Oryzias latipes: one gene and its partners. The protein of the gene in region 1 purifies or fractionates together with the protein of each later gene. This does not show direct contact. Links are inferred from orthologs where the notes say so. Each region holds a gene or a part of one and is shown in the gene's direction. Other genes may lie near its edges.

Region 1 (6,547 bases):
AATGTTTTTCATTTTTTTTATTTCATTTTGTTTTCTGGAAATTATTTTTTTTTCTGAAATGTTTTCATTTTGCAAAATTTCTTTTTTTTTCTTCTGGAAATTAATTTTTTTTTCTGAAATCTTTTTTTCTTTTTTTTCTGTTTTCTTTTTTATGTTTTGGTTTCTGAAATTTTGTTTTGTTTTCTAAAATGTAATACGCTTTTTAAATTGTTGCTGTGATCTTAAAAATGTTTTTGTATCGAGTGATTTGTTGAATGGTTTGCACTTCAGGGCCACCGTAGATACCAGATTCTGTGGAAAGCTACACCGCTAAAGACGAGCTTTAGCTGGTATTTTTGTTAGAACTGAGCGACTTTACGAGCTAAATCGGGACAAGGAAGTGAAGACTTTAACCACTTCTGATTGGTCAGACTGATGACATGTGATTAAGCCTTCAAGAATGATTGGTGGAGACAGGTAAAGGGGCGGGACTTTTCCTAAATACAGCCGGAGCTGCAGCTGAATCGCGCTGCCGTCATTCTTATCAAAATGTCTTTAATAAAATAAAATAAACACAAAGAAAAAGTATTTTACGATCTTTTATATTCCTAACTCCTCAGTGTTTTATCAGGGCCTGTTTGGATGAACACAGAGCTGGAATCCTGGAGATGGGAAATGTTTTTAGATCAGTTAATGAGGGCAATTTCACACGGCACACTTGACCATCTCCCACGGCACACTAGTGTGCCGCGGCACACTGGTTGAAAAACACTGTCATAGAGCCATCACAGTCATCTCCTGTGGTCCTCATAGATAAACCGGATGGATTCTGGGTTATTTTAACCTTGGAAAAACAAAGAAAATAATTCATAAATTGGGTTAATATGTAACCACTATAACCAAAAAATTTAATATTGCTCTCAAAGAACCCAATGATATATCCCAACATGCATAACCCGAGAATTGGGTTAAAAAAATGGCCCAAGAGTTTTAAAAGTGACACTGCAGCAGGAAAACTGTTTGTTTGACTCATCATTATCAATTTATTCATTACTAGAGCACCTTCCACCACCATCCAAGAAGGCCCAACCACCATTCACAATGTCAAGGTAAAAAATAATACAATGACAATGGAATGATGAAACAAGATAAACAATGAAACAAGAATGAAATGAATAAATGAAGGAAAATAATCATTTCTAGTTCTTGATTTCATTTTTCTTTCTTTTTGTGGACTGTCACAGCACACGGATGGCTGTTGGTGGGTGAAACTTTAAAAATGCAAAGTTAGAACGTCTGCTCAGTTTTTGCAGCCTAAAGGCCCGTTCACACCGGGACGAATTTCGCCGGCGATTTTCGCCCACGTTTAACGCCTCGTGACTAAACAAAGGGCACCAGTGAGAGTGTGCACACCGACGCGAAAAAACGCCACGCGTCAAAGCGTCAAAAAAAAAAACGCCTCGGGTTTGTTTGTTTTTTTCGACGCGTCGCGTCGAAATCTATTCGACCAATGAAAATGGCGCTTTTGCACTCGTGTCTGGAGCTTCTGAAGTTACAGTAAAACACAACTTGGGGGCGCTCAAACACAAAACTGCCTTGCTGAGCACACATACCAGCGAAGAAGATAGACGCCAAGTAGCGTCTACACTGCCGCGAAGAAATAATGACGGACATTCTAAAATATCCCCGAACCAAGCACCAGTTGGAGCTACTGGTGCTTGAAATATTCATGTTTTCTTTTTATTATTCTGACTAGCGCGTAAATACTTGCTCTCTTCTTCTGAGTGAAAAGCGACTTTAAGAAGCGCAGCGCCACCTTGTGTACAGGAGTATTTCTGTTTAAATTAAGCGCCATCTAATGTCAGGGAAGGAAATTGCATGTTCGCTCGGCTCATCGTCAGCGAAAATCGCCTGGGTGTGAACACAAAAAACGTGGTGAAAAACGCTGCCGAATAACGCCTGGCGAATATTCGTCCCGGTGTGTACGGGCCTTCAGGGGCCACACTGGAAATATGCAAATTTCACAGTAAGAGCTGAAATCTTAAAAGTAAAAATGAAAAATACTGCTTTCAACTAAACACTTGTTATTGGTGGTTCAACCTTTACAAGGCCTACTTTAAAAAAAAGTTTTGAATATTTATAAGTTTATCTTTGTCTGCAAGACAAAATCTGGCCAAGACATGACCAGATACTTTCAAAAACAAGATTAAAATAAACCTTTCCCCTTGTAAGTTGACGGACCATTTTAAATCGAATTGTTGTTGTTATTTTGGCTGCATAATTATTAAGAACATGCATTTGAAAAATTTCAAATGCATTTTCACAAAAGCAATATGTATGTCCGTTGAGATTTTATTTTGAAAGGTCACGGCGGAAGTGAGGGTCTCTCACGTAAGAGTTGCTACCGGTGCTTAGCCACGTCATGTAAACTTAGCAGTGGATGGGTTGTGGTGTAAGACAGCAGCCTCGTCGTTTTTAAGTTAGTTATTAAAATTCCCCAGTGAGAAAGCTTTTTTCAGAACTTGAAGTCATCAGAAGTCTTATGGAAGGATGTCGGACATCGGGGACTGGTTCAGGAGCATCCCGTTCATCACCCGGTCTTGGTTTGCTGCTTCCATAGCTGTTCCTTTTATCGGGAAGCTAGGCTTGATCGATTTCAGAAACCTCTTACTCTTCCCAGAGCTGGTTTTCAGCAGATTCCATGTAAGTGTTTCGTCAAATGGATCCCTTTGCACGCGTTGTTGTATTACTTCGTTAATTTTGTGTTTCAAAGGGCGTTTTACTGTGTTTTGGATGTCAGTTAGTTAGCAGATGGCTAACAGGCGCAGGCCTCCATTAGAGCGCAGCCAATCAGAGGCCGCGACGTTGGAGGGGAGATCTTCCGGAAATAGTGCTCTGAATACGGAATGAACAAACGGCAAACATTTTTATAAATTATAAATGCAAATAAGTAGGTTTTGTTTTCTGTTCAAGTGACAATCAACAGTTTAGTGTCGCATTTGGTACCGTAAAAGTTATTTATTTGAATGCAATACTGACATACTCCACTAGAGAGAGACAAAATTTCAAAATAAAGGACTTTAACATCTCAGGTAAGTTCAAATAACTGTTTCTGTTGGCTTTAAGTTTTTTTTAAAGCAGTTTAAAACAAATTTATTCAGATGTTAAGAAAAGAGAAGATATCTAAATGTAATATTAGATACTGTTCACGGCAAAATAACCAAATCTGCTCTTTCAAATTTGTTTTTCAAATGTACAAAGTATGTAAGAATACATTTTTTGGTAGTTTTATTTTTGGCTAAAACAAAATTTACCGCCAATTCTTTTAATTAAGCTTTTCCTGTGTCTTTTAAACTAGCATTAACTTTCAAAATTGCTTAGAGGCTCTTTTGTTTAAGGCAAAAAAGATTCTCAGAAACACACAAACATGGGTAACGTTGCCAAAAGTATTCACCTACCCATCCAAACAGTTTAATTCATTGACTTTCATGTCTGTGTGAATGCTGAGACCTTTAGTGCCCAGAGGTCACCAACGTTTTTCAGCCCTACAGACCTCCAAACCTCATGTGGGCTTCAAGTTTTCATGGCCAAGCAGCTAAAAGCAGCACATCAGAGTACGATGCAGTGTTGTGAAGCCCCATCAGACTTTAGAGAAGTGGAGTCAGGGTTCTGGCTTCTCTAGGTGTAGTTCTAGGTTGTTCTTCAGGAGCTGTACTGTCCTGCTTGGTTAAAATGAAGTGAACTCACAAGTGCTGCAGCAAACCTATATACTTAAAATCCCTTCTGCTTTATGTTTCAGATCTGGAGACCGATCACAGCCACCTTTTATTTTCCAATAACCCCCAATACCGGCTTTCTTTACCTTGTTAACCTGTACTTCCTTTATCATTACTCCACTCGGCTGGAGACAGGTGAGCTTTCTGCTTTGCTGTTTTCCTTTTCCTACGTCCTCATCATTAATCATGTCCTTTTCCGTGGTAGGGGCCTTTGATGGCAGACCTGCAGACTACGTGTTCATGCTTCTCTTCAACTGGATCTGCATTGTTGTATCCTTTGACCACCATTCAAAGCTGAGTCATAAATTACAACCTACGGCTCCGTCCGCCCCTGCTTCACTCAGCGGCACCGCCTGCCTCTCCTTCGTCCTTCGTTCCTGGACCCGGCTCCTCTTCCTCTGTCAAGGTGGCCCTGTGCCAGCAGACCGGTGTCAGTCCACCCTGCAGAACAGAGGTCACATGCAGAAGCTCAGTGCTGCTCACAGCTCCTATATTTACTGATGTCTTGGGCTTTTATCAAACTTTCTGTTTGGTTCTGCTGGTCATTTTCTGAATTTGTGTTGAGCTTTTAGAGTCAGAGTGAGGCTTACAGCATGTTTTATCCAGATGAACTTGTTTTTCTTGACTGCTTCTGCAGATAACTGGGTTGCTCATGAACATGCAGGTGAGGATCCTCTGCAGCTGGCATGATGTTTCTGTCACGTCTGCATGGCGTGTTCAGAGGTTCTGACCGCGTTTCACGTCTTGTTTCAGCTGCTCATGATCCCGCTCATCATGTCGGTTCTGTACGTCTGGGCTCAGTTCAACAAAGACACCATTGTTTCCTTCTGGTTTGGAACGCGGTTTAAGGTGGGTGGGTCGAGAAGATGCTTTCATGATCACAGTGACAACAAACCGTGATGAAGGCGATAAACAACCATCACTGCTCTCTTTCAGGCCTATTATCTACCCTGGGTCATCCTGGCCTTCAACTTCATTATTGGAGGCTCGTGAGTAAAGATGTCCCTCTGAAGTGTAGAGTGCTGTGTTCCAGCAGGACCCCTCCAACCCCTCCCCCTTATGTGTCCCTGTCTGCAGTTTTATGAACGAACTGACGGGAAACCTGGTGGGCCACCTCTTCTTCTTCCTCATGTTCAAATACCCCATGGATCTAGGGGGACGCTCTTTTCTGTCGACGCCGGAGTTCTTGTAAGTTTTAAAGCGACAGAAGTTGGCGTTTTCTTACACACCAACGTGGTTCTGATGTCACACGCCGGCACAACCGCATCCAAACGTTTCCAAAGATGGATGATGATGTGCATTACAAATGAAAGAGTTTTGCTGAAGCTCAGTGGAGAAAGTGTGTGTTAGCCTTGCAGCCCAGACTCTTCCGGGGGGGGGGGGGCTGTTCCTCACTCTGGTACAAATGAATGGGAGGACCCGCTCGTTGTCCTGGGTGGGAGCGGCTGGTGCAGGTTTTTAGAGGTACATCTGACAGCGCTCTCTTTTTTTCCAGGTATCGGTTCTTCCCCAACAGGAGAGGAGGCGTGTCGGGCTTCGGAGCTCCCCCCAGCAGACGACCAGCTGCCCAGGACCCCGCTGGCGGAGGGGCGGGGGGCCGACACAACTGGGGGCAGGGCTTTCGTCTGGGGGAAGATTGAGGGAGTCCTGAACTGTCAGCAACAAACGGCTGGGCGGCCGATGTTTTGGACTAAACCGTTTCTCACCCCCTTGTTTTATTTCAAGAAAATCAAATGATCAACTTTAAATTGACTTTAAGTCAGGTTTAGGCTAAAAAAGACCAGGAAGTGCAGCAGGACTCTGTTCTCCGAGTGAAGATGCTGCAGCAGCGTGGAGCAGAATGTTTAACGCCACTCTGCTCCTGCCTGTCAGTCAGGAAGACGTGTTGTTTTTCTCTCTCTGACGCCATATTTGATTTCATTAGAATTTCTTCATGCACTGGGAGGCCGTCCTGCTTCAGAGCGCCATCTCTGGGTCGGTTTTCACGGATGTGAAATGATGACACGGCTGGCTTTTCTCCTGTTGTAAACAGATGGATGGATCCTCGCTCTTTATTGTAAATAAAACTTTTTTTGAAAGATGAGGACTTGTCCTTCTGAAAGTCTTCATTTCATTTAAGGGCATTTGCTATTCTCAAGCCTTTTAGAGGAAACAATATCCATGTATAATATCTGATAATATATCTCGTATGGCACACAAAAGAATGCATTATTTATTAAATATTAGTTATTTTTCTGAGCTGTTTTCCAAACGGAAGTAAGATGACTCGATCTCTTTTTCTCTGCGTGGGTACCGCCCATTTCCTGACGTCATCTTACAGCCGGCCTTGGCAGTGTCACGAAAACTAACATCCAAACTTCTGCAGAGATGGATGTGCATGTTGTTCACATAAATGAAAGTATTTCAGCCGGGCAGGGTTAGAGGAGGAATGTGTGAATGGATCAAATACTGATCTGGGGTTCTTTTCATGAGAAATCAACATTATAATACACGTAATCAGAGTAAATAACCTCTGGGTTGGGGACGGGACTGTTGGCGTGGAGTAAGCCTGCCCCTTTTTCCCATCATTCATCTGTTTTCATTCTCTCCCGCTAGCTTATCGCCCCTCACAGCCCCAACCTAACTGGGGTGAATGGGCTAAATGGCAGGAAATGTTGAAACTACAGAACAGACCAAAAGTTTGGACACTCATTCAAAAGCCTTCTCATTCAAAGAGTTTTCTTTATTTTCATGACTATGAAAATTGTAGATTCACACTGAAGGCATCAAAACTGTGGATTAACTCATCTGGA
Region 2 (4,847 bases), on another chromosome or scaffold:
CTGTGACGGGCTGTTTGTGTTGCAGGTTGAAAACCCCACCCCGGCCTCAGGGGCAGAGGACGGAGCCGGAGAGCAGAGGCGGGGTGAGTCTGCGCTTTCCCACGCCTTCCTCTGAAAAGACTTTTTCCGTTTGTACTCCCCTCTCAGATTTTTACCTTTTATGCAACACGAAAATACCCTTTTAACCACAAAATCCCCACAAACGTGTGACGCAAAACCTAAAGCAGCCTCTAAATGTTCCTTCACATGACTTTCCTTCATAATTTCAGGTCAGATGTTCCTCCAGCTGTTGTAGCTTTTGACTGTCGGGTTTGTCTTTGCGCTCAGATGTTCCAGGGCTTCGGGGATACCGGTTTCCACATGTCGTTTGGCATCGGCGCTTTCCCCTTCGGCTTTTTCACGACAGTCTTCAACGCCAACGACCCCTTCCACAGAGCAGGTACACAGCGGTCCCCTAATCAAAGAGGAAAAAAAAACCACAACCAACCTTTTATCCAGTTTTATTTCGAATCTGATTCTGAAGGAAGTTTTATTTTGAAAAACGACCAGTTTCTCTCCACCAGTCTCTCTGTCTCATGTCGAAAATGCATCAGCTACTTTGTTAAAGCGGCCGCACCGACTGCTAAATTAAAACCTTCAAGCTAGCAAAGTTAACGAAAAAGAAAGTTATGTGGAAAGATCCAGAGAGGAAACTGAAGAGCCTTCCCCTTCAAAATAAAATAAATCTGCTTTCAACAGACAACAACCAGGAAGGAGTCTTTACTCCAAATATGGATTTATTGTGACAGTTGGTCCCACAGACCATAATAATAATGCAGAATAATCGTCAACCAGCTGTCTAATGTTATAAGGATGCTGCTAATAAAGTTCTTCAAACAGTGGATTCTCGTTAAGATTATATTTTTTTAAAAATCCAGTTTTCACGATTGTTTTTTGTATTTTTCCGTCTCATCTTAAAAGTCAGAAGAGGCTGAAGTTGGCGTCTTCTGCTTTTATGGTCACGGCTTAAACTTTATTTCACATTTTAATGGTTCCTACAGGAAATCAAGTGAACAAATCAATATTTTACAGAGAATGAAGATAAACTTCTGTCTCAAAAGTTCAGAGAAACAAAAAAACTCAAATCAGACGCCCATGTCGGCCTCGTACAGGACGGTCTGCAGAAATGTCTGAAAAAGTTTGGGGATTCATTACATTAAATGTGGAATTTTTCTTGCCTAAAATAAATCCAAATTTAGATTTTTTTTAAACTCACTACTTCAATTTGAAAGTCTTTTCTTTCTTGTTTACCTTTAGACCAGTATGCAGGTGATCACCAAGGTAACGGGAACGGCAACAACAGCTGGCAGGACTCGCTCTTCCTGTTCGTGGCCATCTTCTTCTTCTTCTGGCTGCTGAGCGTGTGACTGACCTGGAGAGGAGGTGGTTTTACCGAAATCGGAAACGGGGAGGGAGGAGTGCAGCAACACACATGAACACACACACACACACCTGGACAGGTTCCTCCTCCCGTAGTCACGTCGCCGCAGCACAAGCCCCCGCCTGCTCGTCGTTTTTTTTATGCCTGGCGACGTGGAACCCCAGAAATCGGTCGTGGCGGTCGTCTGGGCTCACAAAACATTTTAGGAAGTGGAAATGTTTGGGTTTGGCGTTCAGATTCAGTATTACATAATCCGAATGATCAGATGGATGAGGTCACTTCATTCATCAGATTACCAACTCCTCTTTATTTAGAGGAGGGGGGGGCTCTGTGGGCAGATGTGGATTGGCCATGGGGGGTGGGGGGTTAGGAGTGCAGCCAAGTTCCTGTTCAGTCTCCATGGGAGCCTCCTCCAAACATTTGTCTTAACCCGTTTCTCCTGGTGGAGGTCGCCTGAAGGCGGAGCCGCCCTGAAGGCGGAGCCGACCTTCCTCTTCAGACTAACTAAAAGTCAGAGCTTCGCCTCCCACGAATTGCATAACCGACTTGGCCAGAACGCCACGACCGGCAGAGAGAATCCTCAGAAACCACTATAGATATTTCCGAGATTTGAGTGACGGCTCGCTCGACCGGCACCGCCCCCTTTTCCAAAGCTACAGGATTGCGAAACACTTGTGGATTTTTGTGAGTGCGTATGTGTGCATACAGTATATATTTGTATATATAAATATTGTACATGCTGTGACTGGATGGGAGAGCCCTGGAGAAGATGTGCGACTGTGAAGTGTTCAAACTGTCTACTTCCTGGAATACTCTCGTCATACGTGTTACTCGGGTACTTAAATGTCTAACCTGTAAATTCTGATGAAAGATTAAAAGTTTGACTGCCTTTCACTCTAAAGGTGAATTCCTGCTCATTCAAAGGGGATGTGGGTCACATGCGTAGCCAGGAATGGACTATTTGCTGGTTTCCTCTCTAGATGCCATTGCTCTGAGTGCTGACTGCCATCTACAGACCAAACCAGCCCATGAAGTCCTTAGATGTTTGTGACTCTAGTCGTGCTTTGAAAACCAGATGTTTTAGTCAGATCTTCCATTGTTCTCCATGAATGCCTCCAGGGGACCCTGCAGCTCCACCGTCCAGACTCATCGTCCCTGAAATGTGCAGATCTGGAGATCTTTCACCTGGAAGTTGGACTGAAAACACTTTTCATTTCATGTCCCGCTGCGGGACGGACACAAACAATCTGCTTGGACTCTGATGTTTCTGATGGGTTTAGCTGCGTTTGATAGGAAAGTGGTTTAACGTGACGCTAAATTACCGTGTTGGCTTAAGGACTGTTGTACAAAACCCAATGGTCTCAGATTAAAACTTGAATTAACCAAAGTCATTTTGTCTTTTTTTTTCCAAACGTTTGATCACAAAACACAATTGAAATTTGATGAAACAGCAAGCAGGAGCTGCCCGACGTCCCCCTTTTAAACCTGCCATTCGGAATTTTAAAAAAAGCCTTTTTTTTAAATAGTGACTTTTGTTTGTTTTATCTCCATAGCAACTATTTTACTTTTTAGTTGTCCATAAAATGTAAACTTGTTCACGCATTGCCACAAAAAGGCAGCATTGCCGTAGGCCCAGTACCCATCCCATAATAATGTCAAAACTCCCTTTGAACATCTCCAACACGTGTTTTGGTTTCATTAGTGGATCTTAAAACATTTTTGAGAGATTTTTGCCCATTCAGGTTATGTTTCTGATCCTCATGCTGTGATGTTATCGTTTTTTCGAGGAAGGTTACCTTGTCCCAAACTCATCTCTCTGGGTCAGAGTTGTGTACAAATTTTGGTTTTTGAGTTTGGGACGGGGGCGACATTTTTGGTCAGACGTACAGTAAGAAAGAAGAAATGCAAAAACAGTATGGTGCTGCAGTCAGAACAATAAAGCTTTAAGAATTAAAACTTTATTCACAAATTTCCAAATGAAACATGTAAACCTTTTATAAATTACATTTTTAAAAATATATTAAAAAACTAAATTTTTTAACAAAACTGAGCTGCTAAAGCTTTGATTACATGTCAGTCTATATCTGTTATATTTATCTCAGTTAAATTTCAGTGAATATTTAAAAAAAAAAGTTTTTTTCTCTAATGAAATTATTTTTTTCACGTTTACAAGAATATTGATGCACATGCAACAAGACGAAATGTGCAAAATTAGCAAATCCATTTCAACATCTTTACAGTAGACTAGTGTTAAAAAGGTAAAAGCTACAAAATCTTCCATAAAAAGTGGTTTCTGTGTTTTATCGTGACCTTCAGTTCTTCTGTCGTCTCTTCTATTTGGCGGCCTTGTTGGATTTATTGAGAATCTTCATGAGGCTTTTGGACATATAGTAAGGCTTCTGGATGGATCCATCGTTACGCTCCAGGTCCTCCACTGGAAGAGCCACAGAACTTGTTAACCATGTGAATCGACAGAGAAACGTCACGGAAAAAAGGAAAACCTTACGGAAGCAGAGGAAGAGCGTGTCGACACACATGCTGTAGACGCTGAAGAAGCCGTGAGCTACCAGGTAGCTCCCGAACACCACCGTCTGAGGAACAACCAGGAAAATGGAGTTATTGTAATTTTGTTTAGGAAAAAAAAAAAAGTAATCGGAATCTGAAATGAACATTTAGTGTCTTACAATAATTGGCATCCAGTAGTAGTTGAGGTTTTGGGAGCTGAACGAGTTGCCTGGAGCTTGAATGCGTCCAGAAAAAAAGAAGAAGGCCAAAACGCCTGAAGGAAAAGAAGAGGACGTTTGTCTGAGAAAGGATTTCTTTTTGTCTGATACTTTAGTCCTTATAAAAATGTTATATTTAAAAAAATACTTTTATTCTGAAAATGCATTAAATAAAAAAAACAGGTCAGGACTAAGGAATGAGCAAAAAAGGGTGTTGAGCGGCGTTGTGTGACCCGCACGCTGTCCCCTTTGACCCCGTCTGAGCAGCTGCTACACCCCGCCCCTCCCCTTCTTCGTTGAAAAAAATAAATGGCAGATTTTCTGTTTGTTTTATCTCCATAGCAACCATTAATTCTTTTGGTCCCCTGGTAATGACGAACGGGTCTTTGTCACATTTAGAAGAATCGGCAAAAGTATAGTTTTGAGTTTCCTTGGCAACAGAGGTGTTTTGTTACCCACGCCCTTATTCCATTCCTTATTTATGTTCATGTCGCAGGTCTTTTAGTTTCGTTCAGCTTGAGCCAACGATTTAAATCTGACAGTAGCTTCGAAATGATGCTCGAGGAGTCAGAAGATCCCTGAACTTGTAGCTGGAACTACAGGTCTTTGTTTTTTGTTTTTTTTAATATTCAAGATGGCGGTCCACAAAACTGCATTTTTGACATAACCCTGGCCTGATGTGTGGGCAATTTCGAGAAGATCAC
Region 3 (4,935 bases), on another chromosome or scaffold:
CATCATGGATGCCAACCAAACATATCTGATGTCAGAGCGCCTTGAACGGTGTGTGAAACGGGATCTTTTTTAATATCTTAACAGGAAATCGATTTTGTTTATATTTGATCTTAAAAATTAAATTGATCACTAGTGTATCAACGATCTGAAACAAATATGTGGGTTAAAGCCTTTTTCTTATTTTATTTAATGTGCATTAAGCACATTAAACTCATTGTAAAATGTGTGATGCTCATGTGAGTCAAAGCGGTGCAGACAGGCACTGCACACTAATGCACAGCCACTAAACAACAGTTGGAGTTGAGATGACGTTTTAGTTGCAACATGGACATTTATAGAGAGTTGGATGACGTTTCTGTTGAAGCTCAATGTTCTAAAAGAAATGGTTGCTTTTATTATAGAAAGTTGTGGTGTAGATCTTCTGGGTTAAAACCACCACATGGTATCGGTTAATGCTACCAAAATAGACGTGTACTGTGAAATTCATTTTCATTTAACACGATATGAAAAAGAAAATTTGAGAATTAGAGAAAATGTGAGATTTTTCATTCAGTTTCTGTGCAAAAAGTTAACAAAGAGGGTCAGGTGGTCCTTAACTAGACCCATAAGTCCCCGCATATCGCTCGATATAGGGGGACTGCAACAGTTATGGTTTTTGTTTTTTATGGTTTTATATAAGTTCTTTTTCTCTTTTTTAACACATTTCTGAACACTTTTGGGTTAGAGTAAGTTGTATAATTTCTGCTCCTGGCTGATGGTGTCAGGTGGCATCGTGTCTGAAGCCAGGTCTCTCCTCTTGTGAGTTAGACATCACGTTCAAATCATCATCAAAGTCGTTTTATAATGGTCTTATCGTTGCTTTAAATACCTATATACTCCGTGTTTAATAAGCATTTACTGGGATAATAAACAACACATATTAATTTTTAATTAATTAATTTAATTAATTTAATTAATTTTTAATTAATTTTATTAATTAACTTAAATAAATATTTTGGTTTATAGTGAGGAGAGAAACCAGACCCAAGTTTTGAGGCAGCAGCAAGACGAGGCTTATCTCGTCTCCCTCCGTGCCGACCAGGAAAAGGAGAGAAAGAAAAGGGAGGAGCTGGAGCAGCGAAGGCAAGAGGAAGAGAAGGTCCGGCAGAGTGCTCTTGCTGAGGAGCGGAGACGGAGGGTGACTATTGCTTTCTTTAGATAAGAACAATGTTCTCGCCATGTAAAACGTTCTCAATTAAATGGCACGCTTTTGGATTTCAGAACCTGGAGGAGGAGAAGGAGAGGAAGTCTGAATGTCTTCCATTGGAGCCTCCTGCAGATGATCCAGAAAGTGTCAAAATAGTGTTCAAGCTGCCCAATGACACACGGGTGGAACGGCGATTCCTGTTTGGCCAATCTCTGACGGTCAGTAACGGTTGAAATCAGATTTCTGTTTGGTGAATTCTAAAATGCATTAAGATTTTCTTCTTTGGTTTAACTAACTTTGATTTTTAAAAAGGTTTTAAACAAAGTTATGTTAGAGATAGCTTAAGTAAAACTCTAAAAAGCATTGAGTTTTTCCCCAATAAATAATGTTTTTCCAGAAGCACCTTACACGTACGCTGATGCATCTATGATTGACTGATTTATCTTCCACAGGTAATACACGACTTCCTGTTCTCTTTGAAAGAAACGCCAGAGAAGTTTCAGATAGTCACAAACTTCCCTCGTCGAGTCTTGCCCTGCCTCCCCACTGAAGAACAACCCAACCCCCCCTCACTAAAAGAGGCTGGGCTCAGCCGCTCGGAGGTACTTTTTGTTCAAGACCTTACGGACGATTGATAGATGGTACCACCTCCCTCTGTGGAAACCGATTTCTCCTCTGACAGCCACTCATCTTCCTCCCCTCCTCTTTTTCATATTGTGTTAAATGGCCATTATGCATAAGGGATCATTGAGCTTGACCTGGAGAGTTGAACCACCCCTGCATTCAGTGCTTGTTTGGTTGACAGGGTTCCCAATAGCCTGGAAAGTCTTGAATTTTTTCAAATAAATATATCTCTTGGAAGTCCTTACCCGAGCTCATCTTTGTTTCTGTGCAGAAAGCTTCTTTATCATCCGTACTAGATACCGGTTAACTCTTGTTCTTCCTTCTCATTCAGTGTTGCAGCATTGAACTAATCAGCTGCTGAAGTAGCAGCAGAGCCAACTCCCATGAGCCACCATGTGTTATTCCTCATTAACAGGCTGCTGCATCGCATACATTTCAATGGTTAAATGAAAGTTGTTTCTGTTCATCCACATTGACACCTTTTTGTCCAAAGTTTCCATTTATTATTGTTGATTAAGAAACATTTAAGTAAACGATTTTTATGATGAAAGAAACTCTTCCAGGAGGACGGTGGACACGATTTAAAGATTTGGGAACCCTGTTTCAATGAGCCATTACCTGTACATAAGTTATGTATTTAAAGTTTCCAAATTGACCTTATTTTATTTTTGACTTCTGTGTCATAAAATGACCAAAACGCAGGTTTGTCACTATAAAGCAGACTGCCTCAAGCTCAAGAAGTTCTAACGTAAAATATTTAACACAAAAGCCACAGTTTTTCCATGTGGCTTTATCTAGTATAGTTCAAGTCTGCCCATAGTGTGCCTGTGGTTTCTCATAGATGCCTGTTTTGCCTGTAACATCTGAATGGGCTCTTGTAAAGTTGTACTTTTCCAAATATAAATTAAACATTTAAACAAAAAAAAAGCTTGGTTATGATTCAGATTTTTGTGTGTGTGTAATATGTCGTTTAGATGAGGGCAAAGTCAAATGACACGAGCGGTATTGGTATACATCATACATTTATTAGTGAACAACCCTCTCAAATCAGCCACAATAATTAAAAAAAATATGATTGCACTACTTGGTAAAGCATAACTAGCAACTTTAATTTAAAAAAAGTACAAATCTTAAAAATTTCAAACAGTATACAGATGTATATATAATACACTAACCAGTTATGTTAAATGCTACAAACAATGATTCCGATGGAATGAAAAAATGATAACAAAGAACCATTTCCTATATATAATATATATTAGTTGTTTTCTCCCCCCCACCCCACCCCCAATACATTGAGAAAAGAAAAAAAACATATGAGGTAACTTTAAATGTGCAAGTACCAAAGCAAAAAAAAAAAAAAAAAAAAAAATCAGTCTAACACAGAACACATGCCCCTGGCTCTGCTGGGTGGGTGGGCGGGGGGTTAGTCTGGTGTTCAGGCGAGGACCCCTGAAGGCCGAGGAGAGTCCACGATAAAACCACCGTCCCACCACAGTGAAAGGAACTCATTGGTAAACAAGAAATGGCATCTACAGCGCAGTCAATCACCAATCCTAAATAAACCTTTAGCTGCTTATTGGAAAAGTTTTGCACCACACAAACGGTGATTTTATTAAGTCTTAACAGAAAGACTACAAGACTCTATTTTCATTTTCCACGCAAAAATTAGCTCATTAACTAGGCCTTAATGGAAAGTTCTTTATATTTAACAGGGTAGCTGGACATTGTCAAATATTTATTCCAAAAGAATAGTGCTAACATTAACATGAATTAAGGTATCTATATGTGAACAATACATTTTAAGATATTGATACACTCAGAGCAAGAGCCTGATAGGCAGGTACAGTACTACACTGAAATAAGTATAACAACACTTTTTTTCCTGTTTTTTTTTCTTCATTTTTTTTCTCTTAAATCCCTTAAACTATATTGATTTTCACTGACATTGTTTAGGGGTATTGATATAACATGCTTCAAGAATACATGAGATCCATGGCAAACTATTGCATTCACGCAAGTGAGATTTCCATACCTAAAAGCAGAACATCTAGCACCTTTTCACTATGGCTTTTGGATCAACTACAGTAGTTTTTCAGAGCATGTCATTTTCAGTCGTCAGGGCAAGAACAGTAACACAACGTATGTAAGAATTTCTGGATTCAAGAATATTTTTTTTTCTTTTATTTCCCCCTCTTTATAAAATGAAGTCAGCACAATAAAATCTTGTAGTCATTCAGTTCTATTACAAATGTGTGCAGTACAATGCATGGCAGTTATTCAGCTGAGCGGTAAGATCCAAACCCCCAGAACCCAAAGCAAACTAAAGCTAAAAATCAGTTGGGATCTGGTCGACAAGCATGCATATTGTGCACCGTTAAATATGTTTCCCACCAGATTTGGAGATTTTTCCTCAACTATATCACACTTTTTTTTTCTCTATTTGTTATTTTTTTCCCCCTCTTTTAAGACATGCAAATACCTCTGAAGTCGATTTAGGAGTAAATTAGGTAGGATAGTGTGCACCGTGGCGCGTTTAGAGATGAGATCACAACCGCCATGTCTGACCATATGAGTACATGAACAAAAGTCAAACAGGCTTGAATAATACACTTGTAAATGAGCTGCTGTTTACATTGCTTTTTTTTTTTTGGAATATTTGCTGATTTCTTTTTTCTTATTTTTTTTCCTGCATGCCTGTCTTTAAGTGGTGTAATATTCTACTATCTCAGACAAAACAGAATATCATAATCAACTACAGTAAATCATTTATGATCCAAGGAAAAAGGACCAAACTAAATTCAGATATACCCTTTTCATGGCATCCTTTCCTTTTGAAATGGACTGCTCTACTTAATTTTTTTTTTTTTATATACCAAGAGGCCCTGAGTGATTTTTTTTTAAAACGTACAATATATGCCAGTGAACAGATATGTACACATAGGTTATTTTTCAAAGCTGTGGGTTTAAGTCATTAAATGGCTTCTTTTTTTTCTCTTGAACGTGGGACACGTTAAAGACTCACATTCACTTAACGAAATAAAATATAAACCAAAAAAACAAGGCAAAAAAAATGCCTTTCTGCGTCAAAGCAAAGGTTAAAACTGCCTGTTAGTGCTTAGTGG
Region 4 (6,756 bases), on another chromosome or scaffold:
TGAATAAGAACCACTGACTTTGGCTTTGAATTAAAACTCAGTTTCTTGATTTTCATGCTGACATGACAGCTACAGATGGAAAGAATGATTAAAGGAAGTACAAATCCTGCTAGTGTCTCCAGGCACACGATGATGATTGCTTGGGTATCAGTGCTGAACTCTCTAGAAAAACACTGGGTAACTCCACCAGCTTCGTTTAAAGTTTGGGTCAGGATGGCTGGCGTTCCAAGAGAAAAGGCAAGGAGCCACAAAAATAGAAGAAATGTGTTCATAGAACCTTTGCTCCCCCAGCGCAGCATTACAAATGGATGAGAAATCGCTACAAAACGTTCCACACTCATTAGAGTGATGAAGAAGATGCTGCTGTACATGCAGGTACTGATGAAGTACACCAAAGCTTTGCAGGTTCCTTCTCCAAACTCCCAGGTGTGCGCCATGGAGTAAATCCACAGAGGCAGGGTGATGAGGACCACGGTGTCTGCAACAGCAAGATGCAAGATGAGCATCACCGTGTGTGAACGCTTCTTCATGGATCTCAGGATGGTCCAAATCACAAACAGGTTTCCTGGAACTCCGATCAAAAAAGACAGGCCCAGAATGACGCATGCCAGTGCAGTCCCGGTGCCATACTCCTCAGGAGCCTCTGTGGGGGATTCCACAGTGAAGGGATTCATCCTCCAAAAATGAATTCTACTTCTAACGTTCTCTTCTGTCTGACTAAGAAATGATTTAAACGTCTCCAAAAACAATACTCCACTTCCCTTTTTGTGAAAACTGAACAGAAACCATGTATTTTCAAGGACCCAATTATCACATGGCTACTGTTGTTGCATTTGCAATGTTGTGTGTTTTAGTAAAATTGCTTAGACATATTTTTTCTTGTTTTTTTTCTCCTGTTTTTTTGTTGTTGTACCAACCACATCCTGTGGGGAAAAAATGTCTCTTATCTAACAGAAATGATTGCTGTTAAATGAAGATCCAGATCTTGAGAAGGAGACTGCTGGTTTTGGCCACTGATTCAGGATTCCAGGCAAAAGCTGAAAAAGAAAAGGAGGAAAAGACATCCATATTATGACTTTGTCTATGCTTATATCTCACTAACTTGTTTCATAATCATAACTTAGAATGTATAAAATCGTTGATTTTTCAAGGCAACGAGAACATACAGTGCTTTTTCTTTGATCACCGTGTCCCGTGAGATGTGCCGATCAATAGCAAAAAAGCTGAAATGTGAGTGAAAGTGCAATCTCCCATGGCACTGACAGATCTAGAAACACTCAAGTAGAAGAAAACAGATTACCTGAAGTTACACTTCACCAAAAGTCCAGCTCAGGGATGAAAGAAAATCCAAAGCAAAGTAACTTCTTTTTTTTTTCTGAATTTGAATCTGTTACAACACTCCCATAAATGTTAACTTTGGACTGCAACTTCATTTCTGTCCTCTTTTAGAGTAGCTAATAATTAACATCTGGCTATGAAGTTTCAAGTTTATTCTATCTTATCTGTCGTTACCCTTCATCATGATCTAGTTCCTAATTTTTGATTTTACAAAATATATAAATAAATATTAATATAAAATATATGTTAATGAAGAGTGAAAGCTGGAACATGAAAGCAATCGGTACCTGGAATTCTGTCATGACTTTATTATAAAACAGCTTTTTTTCTTCTTCTTCACTCAACAATTGGTACGTTTGTTTTATTACACAGTTTGTTCAATATTAATAGATATTACCTGACTCTGAAGTTTGTATTCGTATGCACGAATTTCTGTTTAGGTAGATAGTTTTATTTATTTTTATTGTAAAAGGAAAAAAAGGAAATGTGTTTGTTACAGGATGTATTGTTATAATGCATCTTAAAAAAAAAAACTTACTGTGTTAAATTTTATTTACTATCCTTTTAAATTGAGTTACTTTATAATAAACTTGTGATAAATGTGCAAAATCTTCTCTCCCAGCACCAAAAACATTATTCTAAAATTAAATCTTTGAGTGTTTGAAGTTTGAATAAACAAAAAATATGAGCAATTTGGCAATTTATTTTTATATTGACAAACCCCATTGACGCCATGAATTAAACTACTTTGACTCTAAACGTACTTTTTTTTTAGCTGGAAATAGTGATTACGCTGTCTGTGGGTTATTGGGTTTATAATATGTGGAAGAGCTAAACACATCCACAATAGCCTTGGACCTCTTCTGGTCACACACTGCTTTGGGATGCCATCACATTAGTCTACCATGGGCTGGCAGCCTGGTTGTGCTGGTACTACAACAGCCCCAAGCTGATCCTTCAAATTGTCAAAACAAAACATCAAGGAATCAAAAAGGACATCAGCTGCAATAACCAAAGCTAGCATTCCAAACGTATTCAATTACAGTAAAGGCCACCTGAAGGTTTCACAAATGTAAAACTGAGGCAATGACGTCATACATTTAAGACGTGTGTCATTGGTTTAAAAAATTGGGCAAATTCTTTATTGATGCAACTCAATCTGCTCTGCTGCCCATAAAAAAAAAAAAACTTTTTAAAAATACAAATGTATGGTTCTAATATATGATCATTTTTTAAAGGGCTGGTGTTATATCGAATTATCTACCAAACACTAATTTCCTAACATTGTGAAGTGAGTTTTTATGTATAAATACATATTTATTACTTTGAAAAAAATCTATCTAATCTGATTGGTCTCATCATTACATGCATAAACGTCTACCCTGCTGTCATTAGGGGTGAATTTCCAAAGAAACGACGTCTCCTGCTCTCCCGAATGAGTCGCGACTTTTCTTCTTTGTTCTAGAAACTACCCGTTCCTGTCTTCGTGGTTTATAGCACATTTTAAATAACACATTACAAGTGGATTCGTGCAGCTGATAGCAGCAAAGGTAAATGATATTTTAAGTGTGTGAAGTGAGTAGGTAGCAGCGAAATCGTGTGAAATCGTGTGAAATATGATTTGAATGGCGATGCCTTTAAACAGCCACGATGACGTAGTTTCCCTGCGCAACCAAGAAGAAGCAGCTCGCGAGTCAGCCGTTCAGCCTGTCGCTCTGCTCGGTGGCGTAAACATGACGATGTTGTCGTCCTCTATGATCTTCTTCGTGCAGCTGCACTAAAACTCGGTCCAGTGATTAGGACATTACCCGGGATATTGGGTCAAACGTTGTCTGTAAGGAACTGTAAGTGGAGTCTAGACACAAAGCCGCAGTTCGGCGATTGGTTTTAGCTTCGCAGCAAAGATTGGCTAACAAACTAGCTAGTATTAGGTAACGTTAGCTAGGTGAATTACTAACACTGGACATGTTAACTCACTTTAATTATTCTATTTGAATATTTTTGGTTTGATTATTTATTAAAATACACCCAAAGACAAAAAACCGAACGAACTTGATATATTTTTTTTAATTAAAGAAGCTTATGGGGGTTAGCCACTTCCTGCGTTAGTCTGTATTAGCATTTTATTGCTTTAGATTTTATATTCATATAATTTTACTAATGATTATTATTTTAAACTTGCCAGTATTGGTGAATTGGTATCGCCCTCAAATTGCAAACCCCATTGATTACATAATCTGTTTAGCTGTTTAAAGTCAGGCCAACATTGGCTAATCCAGATGTGTGTTGTTTGTTAACAGACTTTTTTTTCTTCCTTTTTTCGTTGAAGACTACTGCACCCACTGCAATGCCTCTAATGTTTCTGGAGAGGTTTCCGTGGCCCAGTTTGCAGACTTACACAGTATTGAGTGTGGCTTTACTCGCTGGGAGCATCTTCAGTGCCTACCCTACGGTGACAGACCCCGGCTTTGGGGCCTTGGAACCGGACGATACACCTGCTCCCTCCCACGTCGATCTTGAACACCTAAGCAATGCTGTCAGTAACTCAGAACTGGCAACAACGATCCTGTGGTATCTTGTGACCGACAGTCTGTTTGTGTGGGTAAGTTTCACTCACTTTAAAACGTTAGACTAATGTAGGGGTGTGACAATTCATTTTAACAATGGTCTGATTCATATCCTAATTTGTGGTTTCTTAATACTCAATATTGATTCATTTTTAATGGTCTGATATGATTCGATTCACTGACCTAAAATGAGTCGAGGACTAGGGAACACAAGCCACAATTTTCTAAGGTCCAGTGACGAAAGTTGGTGACCACAAATGGTAGAGCTTCCAATTCTGAACACAGAAATAAATGAAATGGCCCAATAGACCTCAAATTAAGTTATTATTATATTACGTCTTGCTGATCACCTTTGTTTTGCGGAAAACAATGGGAAAACCCGGTAATCATGTATAGATATATCAAGTTTTTTTTTTTTTTTAATGTCTCTTTCGATGCCACAGCTTCTCTATCTGTGCTCTAAACACCATCAATCTGTCACAGGACATTATTCAAGGGATTCAGCAATGTTGAATATTTTTCAGAAGATCATTCAATGTATACTATTGCATACTTTACCTCTGCTGAGTGCGGTTTATTATTCTGTATTAGGGACTTGAACCTGTGACCGTTTGTTACCGCGCTCTTTAACATTGTTTGTCACGATGCGACTTGTGAGACTTGGGTCCGCAACGACGAACCTCGCGCGGTTCATCAAGGTTCCTTGATGATGTGTTGGCGGGTGGTTTTTGGGACCTAATTTATCTTGTGCCTTTTCACTATCCATGACTCATGATCCAAAGCCATGAGAAAGCTGCCATTTTCTCACAAATGTCCGCTAAGTCCACTCTACCTTGTTTCAAATCAAAATCAAAGTATAAGCTATCCCAGTACACACAGTGAAGGGTATTTCATCGCTGTACATTTTCCAACGCGGAAACAAAGTTCTTCAACGGTGAAGCAAACATGCGCAAACATATGATGGCCGAGAGCTGCAAGACACATTTACATTTGAGATACAACCATTAACAAATCCTGGAACAAACAAACAAATCATGAAGCACTAAAAACAATTTTGGAACAAATGAACAAATACTGAAACACAAAAGCAAATCACTGAAGAAATTACAGAGTCCTGAAACCCAAAAGCAAATCCGGGTATAAATTACCAAATACCAAATCAAAAAAACAATCTCGGTACAAACGAACAAATGCAGAAACACAACAAGGAAAGTGGAGAAACGGCTTCTAACATCCTGAATCCCGGAAGTGACGTAATACATAACTAATTATGTATGATTTTTTACATTTCTTTATCACTGTTTTTTTTAAAGTGGACATTTTCAATACATGAAACAATCCAAAAGCATTTTTTTAAATTTTATTACTACAATACAAATTACAACAATGTGTTAGCAAGGTAAAGTTTTTGCTGCACTTCCGGTAATAATGGTATTCCCTTTCCATTAAGCTTGCACTAGTGCAAAACACGACTTCAGAAGAAGGAGAAAAAAATGAACGAAAGCGAGCAGCTGCCAACGGAAAGGGAATACCATTACTACCAGATGTGACGCAAAAACTTTACCTTACTAAACATTTTTTTATTTTGTATTGTAGTAACACAATTTAAAAAATGCTTTTGGAATGTTTCGTGTAATTAAAATGTCCACATAAAGAAAACAGTAATAAATAACTTTAAAAAAATCATAGTCAATTGGTTTTATATTATGTCTTTTCTGTTAGAAGCCGTGACCTGCTTTTGTTGTTGTGTTTCTGGATTTGGTCAATTGTAACAGGGTTGTTTTTTGTAATTCTGTATTTGGTCATTTCCCCCCGGATCAGCTGTTGTGTTTCAGGACTCAGTAATTTGTTCCATGATTTGGTGTTGTATTTCGTGATTTGATGTTGTGTTTCAGTATTTCTTTGTTTGTACCGGGATTTGTTGTTGTTGTATCTTAAATGTAAATGTGTCTTACACCTCTCGGCCACAGTACAAACGTCATGCACAGTGACACCCTTTGCAGTACCTGCTAGGACATCTTTAGGCAAAAATTCAACCAGTGTGACTCAGAGATGAATACCTGGGTACTGAATGGTACAGGGGAAGTTACACCAGAAATTGTACATTAAATATGTGTACAAACATACAAGAAAACAAGATCCAATGGCAATTTTAGTTTCATGAAGTTCAGCCCACTGTTGTTTTCCCACATGAAAATAATCCAAACTGAACATTATTAAAACAGTCTAGCACACTCTATGGTCACATATCTTTGCAAAATTCCAAGTTTTTCCACACATTGGACTGTAATGATGACTTGATCATTTTTTGCTGTCATTGTGTGTGTTGTCCGCTGTGATGCACTTTATCGGTTTTACGTTTTAGTAAAATAAACCTACCGTGTCTTAATCCAAATGGTATTTTCCAATACCGATTGTAATCAATTAATTTCATTCTGAAATGATTTTAAAAAACTATAAGTTGATATGATTCATAACTTCCCTCTGACAGAAGGATCTGGTTGAATCATAGGAATATTCATCAATGAATTGATTAATGGTTACACTCCTACTAATATAACGAGTGCATCTACCAAAACTCACTGTTACTTTATACCATTTCCTAGGTGTTGGTGAATACATTCTGCTGCTCCTTGATGCTAATTGCAAAAATGATTCAGTATGTGGTCTTTGGACCTCTACGAGTCAGTGAGAAGCAGGTGAGTTTTTAATTGTCTTAAATTCAACTAATGGGTTTAGTTTCTTTAAAAGTGTTTTAGCTGACATTCAACAGACACTAATACAAATAATTATATTGTCCTTCTTTTCTCATCCCCTGCAGCATCTCAAAGACAAATTTTGGAACTTTATC
Region 5 (6,674 bases), on another chromosome or scaffold:
CCCCAACCTTTATTGCGCCACGGACCGGTTCGATGTCTGGCAAAATTCTCACGGACCGGTTTGTTATATGTGGCGGACACACGCTGCAGCAACGCTGCAATAAAGGCAGAGACACGTGATAAGACGTACTCTGCCCTTTCATTTTGACACGCTAAACATTGTACATCGCACAGGTGTCATCATCCTCTCCCCTTCCCACACTCATGGTGCTAAAAAGAAGTAAACACAACAGGAAGAAATAACTAAGGGTGGAACAACGTAACTGCCAGATGAAAGGACACGTAGGCAAAAAGAAACATCCGTGCTTAACCCTATTTTGACCAAAGCAGGCAAAGGGGATTGATTTAATTCCCTGTGATGCCAGCTCCGACAGTAACCCCTGCACCCTGAGGAACTCCGACAGCAGACCAAACGATCACATGACGGACACTACAGTACAACAAAGTAATATGATATGACCTGCATGAAAACTGTGGTATTTTCTAAACATAACAATAAACACGAATTATGACGTGAGCAACGTCCTCTCTGCCCGCAACACTCCCTGGTCGCTATTATTATAACAAAAATAAGTGCATGGAAAATCCGACTCACCACAACAATGCTGAATGGTTGGAGGGAATCTCCCGTTGGGATAAATCCGTATATAAAGTAGGACTCCTGATACTGTCTAATAAATGTAGCTTTCTTTTTTTGGAAATGGAAGGCTCCTCTTCTGTCTCCTGGCTGGGCCTTTTCCACTTGGCAAAGAAACTTTCCAAAGATGTTTGTTTTTTATTCATTTTGGTTAAGAGTAAAATAAAATAAAAAAACCCAGGATCTAGCAAAATGAGTAAAAAAAAAACATTACTGGAAAGTTTCTTTGCCAAAGGGAAAAGGCCCAGCCAGGAGACAGAAGAGGAGCCTTCCACTTCCAACAAAAGAAAGCTACATTACAGACAGTACTTCTTTTTGCACCATGAGTGAGGGAAGGGGAGAGGATGATGACACCTGTGCGATGCACAATGACATGCATGTCAAAATAAAAGCTCAATGATCATCTTGTCCTTTTTCATCGTTGCTACATCTTAAAGACTCCGTGAAAATGTTGTCTGACGTCATACCGGTCCGTGGGTTAAGTTGAAAACTGCTGCTCTAGAGTGTGTGTGTGGGTGTGTGTGTGTGTGTGTGTCAGCAATGGTCAGACAGACTGATCTAACTAATGTCTAATCTAGCGTCCAAAATGTTTGCACAGACTTAAGTAGGTATTTAAATGGTCTATAAAACGTCCCAGAAGGACTGTATGACAGTGTTATGATGGTTTTAGAGCAGCTGATAACGGAATTTGACCAATCACAATCAACAAATTGTACAGACAGAAAGTGCTGGAAGAAATTTGAGGACAAAACGTTCCTTGTTTTTTTGCTGTATGTCACCTTTGTTCTGAATCAATAATAAAAAAAAATTGAGGACAAAGCCATGGGGGCCGGTGGGAATTTCAAAGTGGGCGCATTTGGCCCACGGGCCGGACTTTGGACATGCGTGGTTATAAAACGGAGGCGCCTCTCTGCTTACCGGCGCTCCTGGGCCATCGCGTCCGGGCTCAGACTCTGCTTCTTCTGGACTGTCGGCCTCGCCGGGTTCGGGCAGGTCGGCTTTGCAGAGGCCGTAGTCTTTACACCTCCGGAGGAAGTCCAGAAAGAGCTCCCTGGCGGAGCAGAGGTGCTGCAGCCGCCGGGCACGGTCGCTCAGCTTCAGCTGCAGCGCTCCGAGCAGCGCGGGCAGCAGCAGGAACCTGAGGTCGGCCGTGGCCACTTCCTCCAGGTCCTCGTTGCGGCTGAAGAGCTCCAGCTGCGCCACCATGGCCGCCGCCTCCTCCAGCGCGCTGACACCGCGCCTCACCCGGGCCTGCACGCTGCTGGAGTTGAGGGGCTCGTTCGTGTTGTCCACCTCCTCGTAGATCTTCCAACCGAGCTCCAACAGCTCCGGCAGCTTTAGATTCTTCGAATCTGGGTCCACTGGAGGTCCGGCTACGCTGCTGGGCCCGCTGTCCGCCATCTTTGAGCGTCCTCTTCTCTGACGTCTGATTGCTTTGGCGGGAAGGACCAATCACTGTCCAGGGCCGCACCGCGCACAATTGTGACGTCAACCGTTTGTTTGTTTGTTTACTGCTTTACAACAGCTGACCTGCAGGGGGCGGGAGTGCGTCTCCTGTTTACCGGCAGAGGAAGAGGGGCAGGATGCGGAAGCGCCGGTAGGCGTTCTCGGACCCGGATGTTCTGGTCCAGTTCGATCATGGAAAGCCCAGAACTGTCCTTCACGCTGGCTTACGTGGTCCTCGCGTTCTGCTTCGTCTTCACCCCGAACGAGTTCCGCGCGGCCGGGCTCACGGTCCAGAACGTGTTTGCGTCATGGCTCGGGAGCGAGGACGTCGGCTTCATCCAGTACCACGTAAAGAGGACGAGCGTGACCGCGCTTGTGCACTCAGCACTGCCTCTGGGTCAGTCTCTCTCTCAAACACACTCATGACCAGAAACGCGTGAATCACACACACATGCACTTTGTAAAGGACTCCTAGAGCTTAAAGAAACCCGTCTTATCTTGAACTTGGAGTCTGAACTAGCAAAGCAGAACCTTCAGAACCTTTCCTCTGTTCTCCTGTTCTCTGCAGACAAAGATGGTCAGAACTTCAGGTCACTTCTCTGCGCTTTGGTGTCTTCTTTTGGGCACAAGCACAATAAACCTCCCCTTCACTGAATCTACTTTTTGTTTCTATTCTCCCCCCTCCTCACAGGCCTCTCATGATGTTCCTGCTGTCTTCTCTGCAGGTTATTACCTGGGCATGTGTGTGGCAGCTCCAGAGAAGAACCTGGCGCTCATCCATCAGGTTGGTTCTGATTCCACGCCTTTGCTTCACATGTCACTTGACTGAGACTGGGCTGCTCCCTGCTGCTGCAGAGGTTCTGTTCTGATGGTTCTGATGGAGTTGTGGGGGTCCCCGCAGGTGAGCGGCAGCTGGAGGATCTTCCTGTTGCTCTCTCTGTGCCTGCACTTCCTCAGCTTGGCGTTGGTCATCTACTGGTCCCGCCGTCACTGGCACAACCACCCCATCAGCCGGGCGCTGCAGGCCCATGCGCGTGCCCCCAACTCCAGATGGGGCGCCATGGCAAGTAGCATCAACACAGAGTTCAGGCGGATAGACAAGTTTGCCACTGGCGTTCCTGGAGCCAGCGTCATCGTGACGGACAGCTGGGTGTTGAAGGTGAGCGCTCCACTTCAGGTCTGCAGAGCCGCGTGCTGAAAGCATGGAGCTCTGGAGGACTTCTCGTGAAGAAGAAAGCTTGGAAAGCTGCAGTCACGCTGAGTTCTGGTTGGATATTTTGTTTAGTTTGTCCTCTTCATCCAGCCCTTTGATTTGCACATTTGGTGGTTACATCTTCTTCAGCTGAGTTCCAATGAGAAAGAAACATTAATCATTGGTCCAGAGAAGAAGATCCCTCTGATCAGACAACACAGTGATTCTCTTGGCTCGTCTGTCCAGTCCAGCATCTGGATGCAGAAGTTTATTTTAAAACATTTGAGCTCCTTCAACAAACCGTCTTGTGCTCTTAGATCCTGAGGTTGTCCCTCTAAAAAGTTCTCGAATCTCAGTGCATCAAATGCTCCAAGTGATGGCTCCTAAACCCTGGAATGCACTGCCTCTGTCCTGTCTAACTGAGGCTTTTAAAATCCACCTAAAGAGGACTTTATTTCAGCAGGAATGGCATTTTTCTATTGATGAAATTTCCCAATTCTATATTTCATCTTTTAAACAAATGATATGTTCATTCGACTTGTATTGTTAAGCACTTTGGGATTTTTTTCAGATACGCTTGATATACTCAGACTGGTGGTCTCTGACCTGTATTAACACACGGATGGTTCACGGTTCTGCTTTTTCTCCAGGTGACCACCTACCACGTCCATGTGGCCCTGCAGAGCGAGTGTCATGTGACCGTGACGCAGTCCAGACGGCACCAACTGAGTCCTGATTCTGGCTCCCCTGTGGAGATCCTGACCCTGAGGGTGGACAGCATCAACCCTGCTGTCAAAGCCTTCACCATCAGGTACAGCTGGGTGCTCAAACCCTGATCTCAGGTCAGCTGGTCGTGGTGGATCTGCAGAGGCTGCACTCTGCAGGCTGCAGCTGATTGTTTCAGTGGTTGAAAGTAATAAGCAGGAGAACGGATGCACAAAAGAAGAAAGGAAAACCAGCTTGGTTGGTTTATACAAACTTTTAACTGCCCGAAATGCAAAAAAACACAAAAGTTTTTCAGAATGATGTCCTTGTTTCCACAGTATAACAAAAGTCTGATCCTTTATTTTATATTTATTTTCCATCAATACCTGATATGTGACTTTATCCACTTTGAAAACAGATGAACAATTTTAAAGATTCACTCTGTTTTTGACATGTTTTTGTAGCGTTTGTCTGAAAATTGAATACACTAACATTAACCCTACATATCTTTGTGTTTCTTGATTCAAATTATTGTGAATCAGGAACAGACCCCCACAGAGCCCCCACCCTTTACCCTGTCACTTCAACCTCCTCCCCTCAACAAGACGAATCAGAGCAGAGGACATAAGAGTCTCTGAGATTGAAGGGCATGGTTCATTTTTGGCCCCAAGCCCTGGTTGAGGTTCTGAGCTAGTCCACCAGGGTTTGTTTTGTCTGCAGCTGAGCAGGGAACCTCAGAGGGAGGCTCTGCTTCGCCATGGCCACTTTCAGCTCAAAGTTCTTCCTCTTGACAGAGCAGGAGCAAACAGTTCAAGTCCCTTTTGTGTTCTCAGGGTCAACTCCTCTGATTATGCAGACTTCAGGGAGAAGCTCCATGCTCCTATCAGAGTTTCTCCCAATGTGGTGATTCACCAAACTATAAGTGAGCTCTTCCTGGAGACCTTCAGAGCTCAGGTGGAACTTAACCAGGTCTACAGGCTTCCAGCAGGACAGGTATGCAGGTATAAAAAAAAAAGGCTCTAGGTGAACGCTAGAACTGTGAGTGACACCTGTTCTCTTTGATCTTTAGGAGCTGGAATCCTGCATCGGCTGCATGCAGGTTCCTGCCGGAATCAAATTGGTCAGGCTGTGCCAGACTGCAGGTGAGTGCATGCACCAGTGTGCCTGTGCAGTTAAAACCAGAGCCCAGAATGCTTCTGTGATCATATTGACCAGTAGATGACCTTGGCGTGTACTTGTACAGCGCTTTCTAGCTTCCCCACAGTCTCAAAGCGCTTTACAGTCACAAACCCATTGGCTCATTCACACACATTCACACTCTGGTGGCGCCTCCACTGCCGAACACTGGCCCCAACCTTCCACCAGAGGCAAGGTGGGGTTCACTGTCTTGCCCAGGGACACTTCCACACATGGAAGGGCGGGACTCGAACCTGCAATCCGCTGCACCACGGCCGTCCCCGTATGGAACCCGTATGGGCTCTGCTTCTATTCACTGGGAATTTGAATCCTGGACCAGAACTACGGTTGTAGCTGTGCTGTAGTCCTGGTTCTGGACCTTTGGGGCAGGGTTGGTCCTGGCAGTCAGTGCCTGTGACACTGTGTGACTGTGTTTTTTAATGCATTTCAGGACCGGATCAGGAGGTCGAGTGCCAGCAGTGCTTCTGCAGGCCCATGTGGTGCCTGATGTGTTTGGGCCGGTGGTTCGCCAGCCGCCAAGACCAGCAGAGACCCGAGACCTGGCTGTCCAGCAAAGTCCCCTGCCCAACCTGTAGATCCAAGTTCTGCATTCTGGACATTTGTATGGTCCATTAATAGCTGAACCTGTCACTCAGGGGAGTGGATCGGGCCCGTTCTGATGATGGTCCAAGTGACGTGAATCTGTTTTTGGAGTTTGAGCTTCAACTGCCGCATTCTGACAAAGACAATTAGAACTTCCTGACCGCTGTGGTACCACTGTGACTTAGCTTGTACGATTCTGATCTTCTCCATCAGTGAGTTTCTGGACTGACCGACCTGAAGGAACTAAAATGTTCAGGAACTCTTTGGACTGGAGGTTCCGACCCGAGCATTGTGAGGATTCTCCATCCAGAGTCGTGCATGTGAGCACAAAGACTGCAATTGTAATTTATGACTTCAGAACCTGACAATTGGATCAAGTTCTGATCCAAACAGGCTGATTACCCCTTCTCAGACAGGTTCCTTTGTCACGTACAGCTCCATCAGAACCAGAGCTGCTGCCATCAGCGCTTATAAGGCTGTCAGGTTGATGTGCACTCTGATGTGTGCACACAGGTTAAGTCCTGTTATGGAGCGTTACACATGACACACATATGATTTTAACACTTAAAGCCAAAGCATCCTTTGGGAATGACCCCCATTTCTCTAAACAGTAATTTCAAATGAATATGAACATTTGTCTGTCCTATAGAGGATTTCTGTGGGATTTCAGCCTGTCTGAATGTTTTTCGAGTCAAACTTAATGAACTTGTGCATTGCCCAATCTTCACTGCGTGCAAAAATATTTGGCAAGTAATTATTTTGATCATAAAATAGTTGCCTTGAATGTACGATGCATGTAATGCATATCTGGTGATGGGCATTTATGTAACGAGGGAGGGCATGGCCTAAGGAGGTCAACATCCTATATCGAGGTGGGCAGAATTATTCTCCTCCTCAGGTATAAAATGAGATTTAA

What was found.
Region 2: the proteins of derl1 (region 1) and rnf5 purify together in Homo sapiens (affinity purification with western blotting; 4 studies listed by BioGRID and IntAct, with this or other methods). This does not show direct contact. The link is inferred for Oryzias latipes from reciprocal best matches to the Homo sapiens genes DERL1 and RNF5.
Region 3: the proteins of derl1 (region 1) and faf2 purify together in Homo sapiens (affinity purification with western blotting; 4 studies listed by BioGRID and IntAct, with this or other methods). This does not show direct contact. The link is inferred for Oryzias latipes from reciprocal best matches to the Homo sapiens genes DERL1 and FAF2.
Region 4: the proteins of derl1 (region 1) and amfr purify together in Homo sapiens (affinity purification with western blotting; 4 studies listed by BioGRID, with this or other methods). This does not show direct contact. The link is inferred for Oryzias latipes from reciprocal best matches to the Homo sapiens genes DERL1 and AMFR.
Region 5: the proteins of derl1 (region 1) and tmem129 purify together in Homo sapiens (affinity purification with western blotting; 3 studies listed by BioGRID). This does not show direct contact. The link is inferred for Oryzias latipes from reciprocal best matches to the Homo sapiens genes DERL1 and TMEM129.

Annotation. Positions count from the first base shown.
Region 1 is NC_019874.2:1,273,087-1,279,633, forward strand, and holds derl1 (derlin-1), read left to right. Parts: upstream 1-2,345; 5' UTR 2,346-2,529; coding exon 2,530-2,682; intron 2,683-3,778; coding exon 3,779-3,890; intron 3,891-3,960; coding exon 3,961-4,025; intron 4,026-4,392; coding exon 4,393-4,419; intron 4,420-4,508; coding exon 4,509-4,604; intron 4,605-4,691; coding exon 4,692-4,744; intron 4,745-4,832; coding exon 4,833-4,943; intron 4,944-5,250; coding exon 5,251-5,395; 3' UTR 5,396-5,838; downstream 5,839-6,547. UniProt on the Homo sapiens protein: Functional component of endoplasmic reticulum-associated degradation (ERAD) for misfolded lumenal proteins. Forms homotetramers which encircle a large channel traversing the endoplasmic reticulum (ER) membrane.
Region 2 is NC_019869.2:5,397,971-5,402,817, forward strand, and holds the end of rnf5 (E3 ubiquitin-protein ligase RNF5), read left to right. Parts: intron 1-25; coding exon 26-83; intron 84-327; coding exon 328-439; intron 440-1,296; coding exon 1,297-1,406; 3' UTR 1,407-2,807; downstream 2,808-4,847. Other genes in the region: slc44a4 (choline transporter-like protein 4), read right to left, coding at 3,754-3,854, 3,927-4,011, 4,105-4,199. UniProt on the Homo sapiens protein: Membrane-bound E3 ubiquitin-protein ligase that mediates ubiquitination of target proteins. May function together with E2 ubiquitin-conjugating enzymes UBE2D1/UBCH5A and UBE2D2/UBC4.
Region 3 is NC_019868.2:20,360,810-20,365,744, reverse strand, and holds the end of faf2 (FAS-associated factor 2), read left to right. Parts: coding exon 1-48; intron 49-1,005; coding exon 1,006-1,177; intron 1,178-1,260; coding exon 1,261-1,404; intron 1,405-1,638; coding exon 1,639-1,821; 3' UTR 1,822-2,737; downstream 2,738-4,935. UniProt on the Homo sapiens protein: Plays an important role in endoplasmic reticulum-associated degradation (ERAD) that mediates ubiquitin-dependent degradation of misfolded endoplasmic reticulum proteins.
Region 4 is NC_019861.2:26,263,152-26,269,907, reverse strand, and holds the start of amfr (E3 ubiquitin-protein ligase AMFR), read left to right. Parts: upstream 1-3,007; 5' UTR 3,008-3,182; intron 3,183-3,667; 5' UTR 3,668-3,685; coding exon 3,686-3,940; intron 3,941-6,511; coding exon 6,512-6,604; intron 6,605-6,726; coding exon 6,727-6,756. Other genes in the region: leukotriene B4 receptor 1, read right to left, coding at 1-674. UniProt on the Homo sapiens protein: E3 ubiquitin-protein ligase that mediates the polyubiquitination of lysine and cysteine residues on target proteins, such as CD3D, CYP3A4, CFTR, INSIG1, SOAT2/ACAT2 and APOB for proteasomal degradation.
Region 5 is NC_019868.2:4,544,879-4,551,552, reverse strand, and holds the start of tmem129 (E3 ubiquitin-protein ligase TM129), read left to right. Parts: upstream 1-2,223; 5' UTR 2,224-2,253; coding exon 2,254-2,479; intron 2,480-2,807; coding exon 2,808-2,866; intron 2,867-2,983; coding exon 2,984-3,241; intron 3,242-3,924; coding exon 3,925-4,085; intron 4,086-4,812; coding exon 4,813-4,972; intron 4,973-5,048; coding exon 5,049-5,121; intron 5,122-5,606; coding exon 5,607-5,791; 3' UTR 5,792-6,674. Other genes in the region: igbp1 (immunoglobulin-binding protein 1), read right to left, coding at 1,555-2,037.